2 linked regions of the Diceros bicornis minor genome follow. Each later gene encodes a partner of the first gene's protein in a complex. Links are inferred from orthologs where the notes say so. Each region holds a gene or a part of one and is shown on either strand. Other genes may lie near its edges. The genes, in order: XIRP2 and NEBL.

What was found.
Region 2: the proteins of XIRP2 (region 1) and NEBL are in contact, whole or in part, in a crystal structure (PDB 4F14), measured with the Homo sapiens proteins. The link is inferred for Diceros bicornis minor from reciprocal best matches to the Homo sapiens genes XIRP2 and NEBL. Residues at the interface, in NP_689594.4 of Homo sapiens: Pro2420, Pro2421, Pro2422, Thr2423, Leu2424, Pro2425, Lys2426, Pro2427; in NP_006384.1 of Homo sapiens: Tyr963, Asp964, Tyr965, Asp969, Asp971, Glu972, Ile987, Asp988, Asp989, Gly990, Trp991, Met1004, Pro1006, Asn1008, Tyr1009.

Annotation. Positions count from the first base shown.
Region 1 is NC_080749.1:48,852,144-48,856,068, forward strand, and holds the start of XIRP2 (xin actin-binding repeat-containing protein 2), read left to right. Parts: upstream 1-1,563; coding exon 1,564-1,611; intron 1,612-2,153; coding exon 2,154-2,585; intron 2,586-3,925.
Region 2 is NC_080775.1:20,689,224-20,693,148, reverse strand, and holds the start of NEBL (nebulette), read left to right. Parts: upstream 1-1,174; 5' UTR 1,175-1,227; coding exon 1,228-1,308; intron 1,309-1,392; coding exon 1,393-1,464; intron 1,465-3,925. UniProt on the Homo sapiens protein: Binds to actin and plays an important role in the assembly of the Z-disk. May functionally link sarcomeric actin to the desmin intermediate filaments in the heart muscle sarcomeres.

The sequences.
Region 1 (3,925 bases):
TATTGAGACTTTCTATAATAAGTGACTAATCCAAACTTATTAATTAGCAATATTATTAGAGCCAAATTTTCCAGTCTGTCCAGTCTATGGATTTGTGGCTTAAAATACGTTCCTTTCTTCTCCCAACCACTTTTATCTAGTAGGCTTGTGTGTAGAAGAAATATTTGAGTGATCAAAATGATGTTATTTTAGCCAGAGATGGGGCTTGTAATGGAATTAACAGCTTTTGGCAGGTCTAATACACACTAGAAATTTTATATGCATTATCTAATGTGTTCTTCAAAATAAAGCCATGATGTATATAAATCCATTTTACCAATGAAGCTTTTGCAAGGTCACACAGTTAGTAAAACCCAACCTGGAATTGGACTCCTGCTGTAAGTATAGAGCTAGCCAGCAGTCCATGAACCATTAGTAGACCATTAAATCAATTTAGTGGGCAGCAAACCTTTTTTTAAAAGTGAAGGATACCAGAGTAGAAAATATCGCTAGACATTTCAAGTAGTAAGGGAAAGTATTGTTCAATGAAAACAAAAGTTTGTTTCTTTTGTATATATGTGTATATTTATTAATGTTGTATGTGCACTGTGTCCTAAAGCATAAAATGCTTTTTATAATGTGGTTTGCAGTCAAAGAATTCTGGAGCCATTGTATTAGGTGACCTTTTGAGATACTTCCAGGCCTTCATCTAAGTAAGGTTGTTTACCATACCCACTGTACTAATGCTTTTCCAGGAAAATGCATCATCTCTCAAGAGCAAAATTTATTTTTTAAAGCTCCAAATTTGCAACATAGAATCTCTGGGTTAGAACAGAAAGTAGCTCTTCCCATGGCAAAAATTCATGCTTGTGTGTAACTCTTGCTGCCTATGATTTGTGCGCATGATGTATATGTTTCTGATATGAGTACATTTTGCCATTTGATTTTTTTCTACTCACCACAAAACTCTAAAACAAGGTGAGATTCTAATCAGTTTCACAATGAGATGTGAATTGGACACAAAATACAAAATAGACATTACACTCCAGTGGTTGAGGGCAATTCTGGAGTCACACAGATGTATTTCAAATCCAGGTTCTGTCACTCAGGACCCTGGGCAAATTACTTCTCAATTTCCTTACCTGGAAAATAGAAATAGCAGCAACTAACTCATTGTGATGATGTTGGTATTAAAATGAGATATATGTATAAAGTTATTATCAAAGCATTTGCCTTATAGCAAAAACTTAATAACTGTTAGCTGTTAATCTTTTACTTCTGAAGTAAGACATTTGCAGAGACCAATAATTTCTAAGGAAGTCCTGAACTATTTCCGATAGGAAATGAACCCTTTTCTTGAGTGTTAGACTTGTAAAATTGCACTTTTCTCAGAATATACTAAACAATGAAAGAACATTGTTCAAGTTTTACATTGTAAGTAATTGTTCGCTGATTTAACATAGAAGGAAATGGGAAGAAAATCACATTTTCCTAGTTTTTGTCTCTTTATATTCAAATGTGCATGTGTTGGTTTGCAACCTTGTGGCTTCCTGGGTAAAATTCGAGACTGGCCCCATCCCCAACATGGAGGGCAAAGACAGACTGAAGAAAGAGGTAGATCACTCCAGATTGGTAGGTGGCAGTTTTAATAAGCAAGAGAACTTACATATGAGGCTTGTCTTGGGTGGCTGCAAGATGAGCAGATATCTGCACCTGCCTGCCAGAATCTTAAAACTTTATATAGAGGTCTCAACAGGGTTCAGTCACGTATTCAGTCCAGATGGTCTCAACAGCACATTACTCTCTCAAGGTTGGGTCCTTGAAATGGCTCCTAGTGTGGGAAGGGTGGGCAGAACGTATATTTCAAGGACAGGGGAGGGAGTGAGGAGGCTTCTATTGCTCGGTCCAGCTTCAGGGTCACCTGGCGGTCACGTCCTTTCGATGACCTCCTACAAAACCATAGCTGTACAAATCCGTCCTCTCCATAATCTGTCTAATTCTGGGTTAACTGACATAACTTTGTAGGGTCAAGTCAAGAGCCAGAAATTATATAGCAAAGCTGGATTTCTACATTGAAACACAAACCCCAAGAGCTAGCATTGCTAAACACAGCACTTTGCAAATGATTCACACGCCTGAATGTATCTTTGAAGGAAGGACTTTTGATATTGCAGGACAACCAGAAGCCGTCCGTGTTCCCAATGCAGAAGGGCTCCCTGAGCCTCCTGAGGCAGAAATGGGAATCCAGTGATTGCCAGAAAAGCGAGTGTTGTCCCACGGGCAGTCGTTGCAGGCTCTTCCAGCCTCGAGAAAGCAAATTGCTTGAACCTGAAGGAGAGGTAGTGTCAGCACCTAGACCTCCAGATCCAAGTCTGGCCCACAGTGTAGGAGAAGAAATGTTGAGCTCAGAGCCTGAAGAAAAGGGCCCTGAGGACAAGAGTGACATCTCCAGGGAATATGGCCGGCCTGAAGTGCTGAAGGGGGATTCCTTGAACGGTCGACGCAGGATCGAGCGCTTCTCCATTGCCCTTGATGAGCTCAGGAGTGTGTTCGAGGCTCCCAGGAGTGGAAACATCCCAGCCGCACAGGCTGAGTACAGCCGAAAGGTAAGGAGCCATTGATTGAGAGTTGAGGTTTATGGTTGACAAGCTAGGCAGCTTGTCTAGCCTGCTATTTATCTCTAAGCATGTAATGCTTTTTCCCTCACCTGTGCTCTAGACAGATGTCCTGAAGCACCTATGTAATATAGTATGAAATGTGGCACCCTCTGTTATTGACTTCCTCTGTGGTTTGTTCCGATGGGAATTTGACCTCCTTTCACTCCCGCAGAAATAGCTCTGATAGTCCCTCTTATGTTGATGTTTCTTTATGTACATGCTCTGTTTTCTCAACTAGGTTATAAGTTCCTTAGAGGCAGGGACAATTTCTTATCACTCTTTATACTTCAAATCTCTAACAAATAGTACTGCATTTAACTAGAGCTCAGTGAGGATTTATCAGCAATGATGGCAAAATGGAACAAGTGAAGGCTCTGGAACCACAATAACAGATTTTAATCCTAAAACCTGCCATTTATTTCTCTAGCTGCATGACACTTAACTTTTCAAATACAGACGTCTTAATCTGCTACTTAACAGGGATCTTGTGAAGATTATTGATAGTATATTTAAACCAGTAAGCATAGAGTCTAGAATATTTTGTGGTAGATGATCATGCCTCAGTGATTATGGTATACTATAATGTCACATATAAAATAGATCTATTAGCTAAAGAGAGTATTTAATCAAATCCAAGAAACAGAATTAGCAATATTATTAATGAAGACTACATTTATACTTCTGCTGCCAATTAAAAGCAACTATTGTTTAAACTGGAATTGCTTGAATGTTGTACACTCATTAGGGCCCCTACATAAGAGATTATGGTTGAAATTCATAAAGAATAAATGATCTCAGGTTTTCCATAGGGAAGCAAACTCCATGCTTTTTTAATTTTTTTACGTAGTGATAGTTATCAGGAAGGTGCAGTCTTACCCTTATTAATGGATAATTAGTCTTTATAAAGGATTCACAGAAATAGAAAATTTTTCAAAATAAATTATTTTGCTAATACTTGCTCCCGGTTTTCCTGTTGGGACATATATAGTAGTTACAATGAGGTCATGCTTATACATCAAATAACTCAACTTGGTTTAACGAGAATAAGGGATATGAAGTTATATTTATGAGGTTACGTTAAAATTAGAGGATTTCTGACAAAATACAACCACTTGCCAATCCCTAATTTGAGGACATCCTTTCCCTCCTTTTTATTCTACAGGTGCAATCTTTTTTGTTTGTAGCTTTATAATATCTTTTGGTTGGCTGTCTAAGGATGGGGGTACACTTAATGTAGATATGTACAATGTCATTTATTTTTTATCTTAATAAATTAAGAAAAGTAAAGC
Region 2 (3,925 bases), on another chromosome or scaffold:
AGAGAAAACGGCATTATACTTGAGTACTTAGAATGATGTATTTATTTTGAACAAAGTTATATTTTATATAATTAGTTTCATTATTCACTATAGGGTATTTTTTTTTTATTTATAAAGCTATGGCTTTATAAATATTAGTTTACCCTTGGATTTAAATAACCAAATTGATAAATTATGAGTTGCATAGCATCTTAGGATTGCCTAAATTGAAATTGAAGGACTTGTTTTATGAAATGTATTTTAATTGTATAACCAATGACACATGCTGCATTATACATATTGTTATAGTTAATTCTTCTAAACTTTTCCAAATGTGTAGTACATATTGAGGAATATGCAAATAACTAGTGAATTTGTAAAAATTGGCACAATGCGCAGAATTGAAAGAGGATAATTATTATTTTTTTGAAATGATGTTTCTAGAATTCTTAAGTGATATATCAACCTGTGTTAACTGCAACTTCTCATGTTTAATGATGTTTACAATTAAAATAATACAATAGCAATATAAGATTAACAGTCATGATTATCTCAGAATAGATTCTTTGAAGTGGTTCAAAGGGCTTTTCTTAATAAATTACTAGCGTTTAATCAGCTAATATGAGTATTTTTTAGAATGTGAAAAGTATATGTATGTCTCATAAAAATTTAATTTAGGTTAATGAAATGAGTTTGAATGATCCAGATTCACTATACCAAATCAGAAGAGGTATGTCTGACATTCCAGCGAAAGCTTTATTTAGATGGAGTTGAGGAATCTTTGAGATAACAGGCTGTGGACTCTGCTCTCTTGAGTGTTACAGCGGAGTAGTGTTCCCAGAATCTTTAAGTCTCTTTCAAGCTATTTTATGAATGAATTGAATTAATGAAGTATAAATAAATAGTCTCTTTGGGATTTCTTAACCAATTTAAAGAATGTTGACTTTCAAAGTTCGTAAAATTAAAATTTGCCTGTTAGAATGTTATTTCCACTTGGGAGGCTAGCTCTGGCCGAACTCTGCGATCCTGTTCCATCCACTCACACACAGTTGTGATAAGGAGAGTGAAGTGTGAGCTAAATGGGGAGGAGGCCTGGGCAAGGTCATTCTTGCCAGAACACCAGAGACTCTGAGATCTCAGGGTGCTGTAGTACATAGAAAGGTGCTACACTGGTGAATTAAAAAAAAAAAAATATATATATATATATATACACACACAAATATATATATATACATATAAAGAGTAAAAATGAAGGTCCCTGTATTCGAGGATGTAAAAGATGAAACTGAAGAGGAAAAAACAGGGGAAGAAGAAAATGAAGAAGATGAGGTGAGTGGGAAGGCACCTGCTGAGGAACAGTATGTGTTGCTTTAAGTTGATGATTAGAACAGTGTTTCCTTTTTTTCCGGGCAGGTATTCTTTAAGCCTGTTATTGACGACCTGAGGATGAAATTGGCCAAAAAATGCACCCAACTCATTAGTGATGTAAGTGGCTTAAGTAATGTTTGCCTTATTTTGCGTAGTGTGTGTGGCACTGTTATGTTGTAGAATCACAGAGCTGGGGAGAAAACCCTGAAATCACCTAGTCAAATATAATTATTTTCCAGATCATGGAGCTAAGTCCAGACATGGCAGGTGATTTCCTCAAGGTCACCCATGCAGAGAATTTCTGTGGGAGCAGTTCTCCATGTTCTTAATCCAGAATCCTGTCCCTTGTGGAGTCCACTGTCACTCTGGCATGAAATCATAAAACATTGAATTTCAGAGCAAGTTTGTTTGAAAACCCCAAAGCCTTTTAAAATTTATATAATGATAGAATTTGTTTGGGGGGGGATCTTTAAATGAATGATTTTTTTTTTTTTTAACATTTTGGAAACATTTTGAGGAATCTGATGAAAGCAACAGTTTTCCAAACCAGGAAAATGCTTATATCTATATGCATCTAACATTTATTTACGATTGAGGATTCATGGGTTACTGAACTGCATGTTAAGACCCTGAATGAGATGATGATGATATTAGTGAAAAGGAACATTTTTGTTGTGACTTTTTTCAGTAACCAAGATCAGTCTATATTATATTTCAAGGGAGTTCTACAATGATAGAATTATTTAACTCATATATATGTATATATTTATAGTAAATATGTAAACTAGAATTGTAGAAGCACAATGAAAAGTATTCCTCAGTAGGAATGAGAATGTAGATGATCCTCATTAAAACAGTTGCAAGAGAATTGCTGGTCCAGGGGAAAGATGGCTCACGAGAAGTGGGTATGTGCCTGCCATTTAGAGAGGCGAGCATGGTACTGGTTGTTTCCGTTGTTGGTAATAAACAAAGTGATTAGAGTATTTTAAAAATGTTTGTTTTCAAAGGAAGTCAGTCCTGGGCAGCAGGGTAGCGTGCTGGCATGTTCTCTGAAGTCCACCTGCCTGAGTCAACTTTGTAGTAACCGTGGGCAGGTTTTGTAACTGGCGAGACTCCATTCCTCAAGGGCAGCGTTTATAATAGTAACATTAAGTGATGGTAACACATCTGAAATGTTTAGTAAACTGTCTGGAACATTGTGAGTACTCAAGAAGTGCTAGCTGTTATTAACCCCTACATCTGTACATGACTTTTATATCCATCCAATCACGTTTTATGTATGACTCTCTGTTGCCCTCTGGTTTGTTGGAAAGAGCCAAAGGATGGTGGGAATCATACCCTTTCCCGTGTATTTGACATGTGATGTAATTAAATTTTAAATGAAGTATTTCTTTGTGCAGTTGCTTCATGTCATAAGCTACTGCATGTGAAAGTTCTTCATAAACTGTGGTAATAATAATAAAATGACAACAACAACAATAATATCAGCCACAGTTAAGATTTATTGAGTACTGTCTGCCAGGCATTGCAGCTTATGAGGTAGATTCTATTGTTTTTCCCCTTTTAGAGGTGAAGAAATGAAGGCTCAGAGAGGTTAAGTAACTTGCCTGGGTCACACAGTTAAGCAGTGGGGGGCAGGGCTTGAACACAAGGCCCTCTCTCTTAGCCGCTGTGCTGTGTTACCTCTCACTGTGATTTCCACGCAAAATGTATCTTAGCTTTAGTATTATTTATTACACTAGTATTAGTAATAGTAATGATACCGTTGAAAACCTTAAGTTTCATAACTCTAGAGATAGTACCTCCTCCAGCGTTGTTATATTTCACCGAAGTGTAGTTGTGGCTGAGCTAAATTATGTCATATAAATCATTAGAACTAAAGTAGCGACTTTAGTTAGTAGGTGATTTTGTTGGTGTTGTTTTGGTAACATTGTTTCTCAGTGACTATAAAACCAGCCTTGTGGTGAGGGTGATGGCCTTTACTATGTTGCAAAAGCCGGAGCCATGTTATTTGGCGCCCATGTAGGTGAAATCAAACAAGTGGGAGTAATTAAACAATGTTTATTATAAATTTATGTTGCGTGACAGAATGTCTGTACTACTTAAATATTTAAATCATATTTCTGTGGCCTAATTTATTTATATGTATGTACAAGTTCACATTTTATTTCCAAATGGAATTCTGTCTTTCTGAAGATACTGGTTTAATTTTTAGAATTTTTATATTTACCGATAAATAGTCTGAACAATTACTTTTTGTGTTTCTAACAAAAAAATGCAGAGTTTGTACTATCATTTTAAAAACAAATTTTAACTTACCCTTTCTGGAAGGACTTTGTGTATTAGACTAAATCAAATTTCAAGTTTTTAGAAGTTTAGTTAAAAAGTATTAAGTAATACCTTGCTGATTTATTCTCAGTGTCATCAATGTTTTTGCATGGAGCAGAAGAACTTGAATTTGTAGTTCATATGTCTATTATATTGTCTGCACGACTAGATGGTTGTCTAAGATGTGTATTTGAAGTTGTATCAATCACGGAGCTAAAACAGGTATAAAACAGGGGACGTATCACTGCAC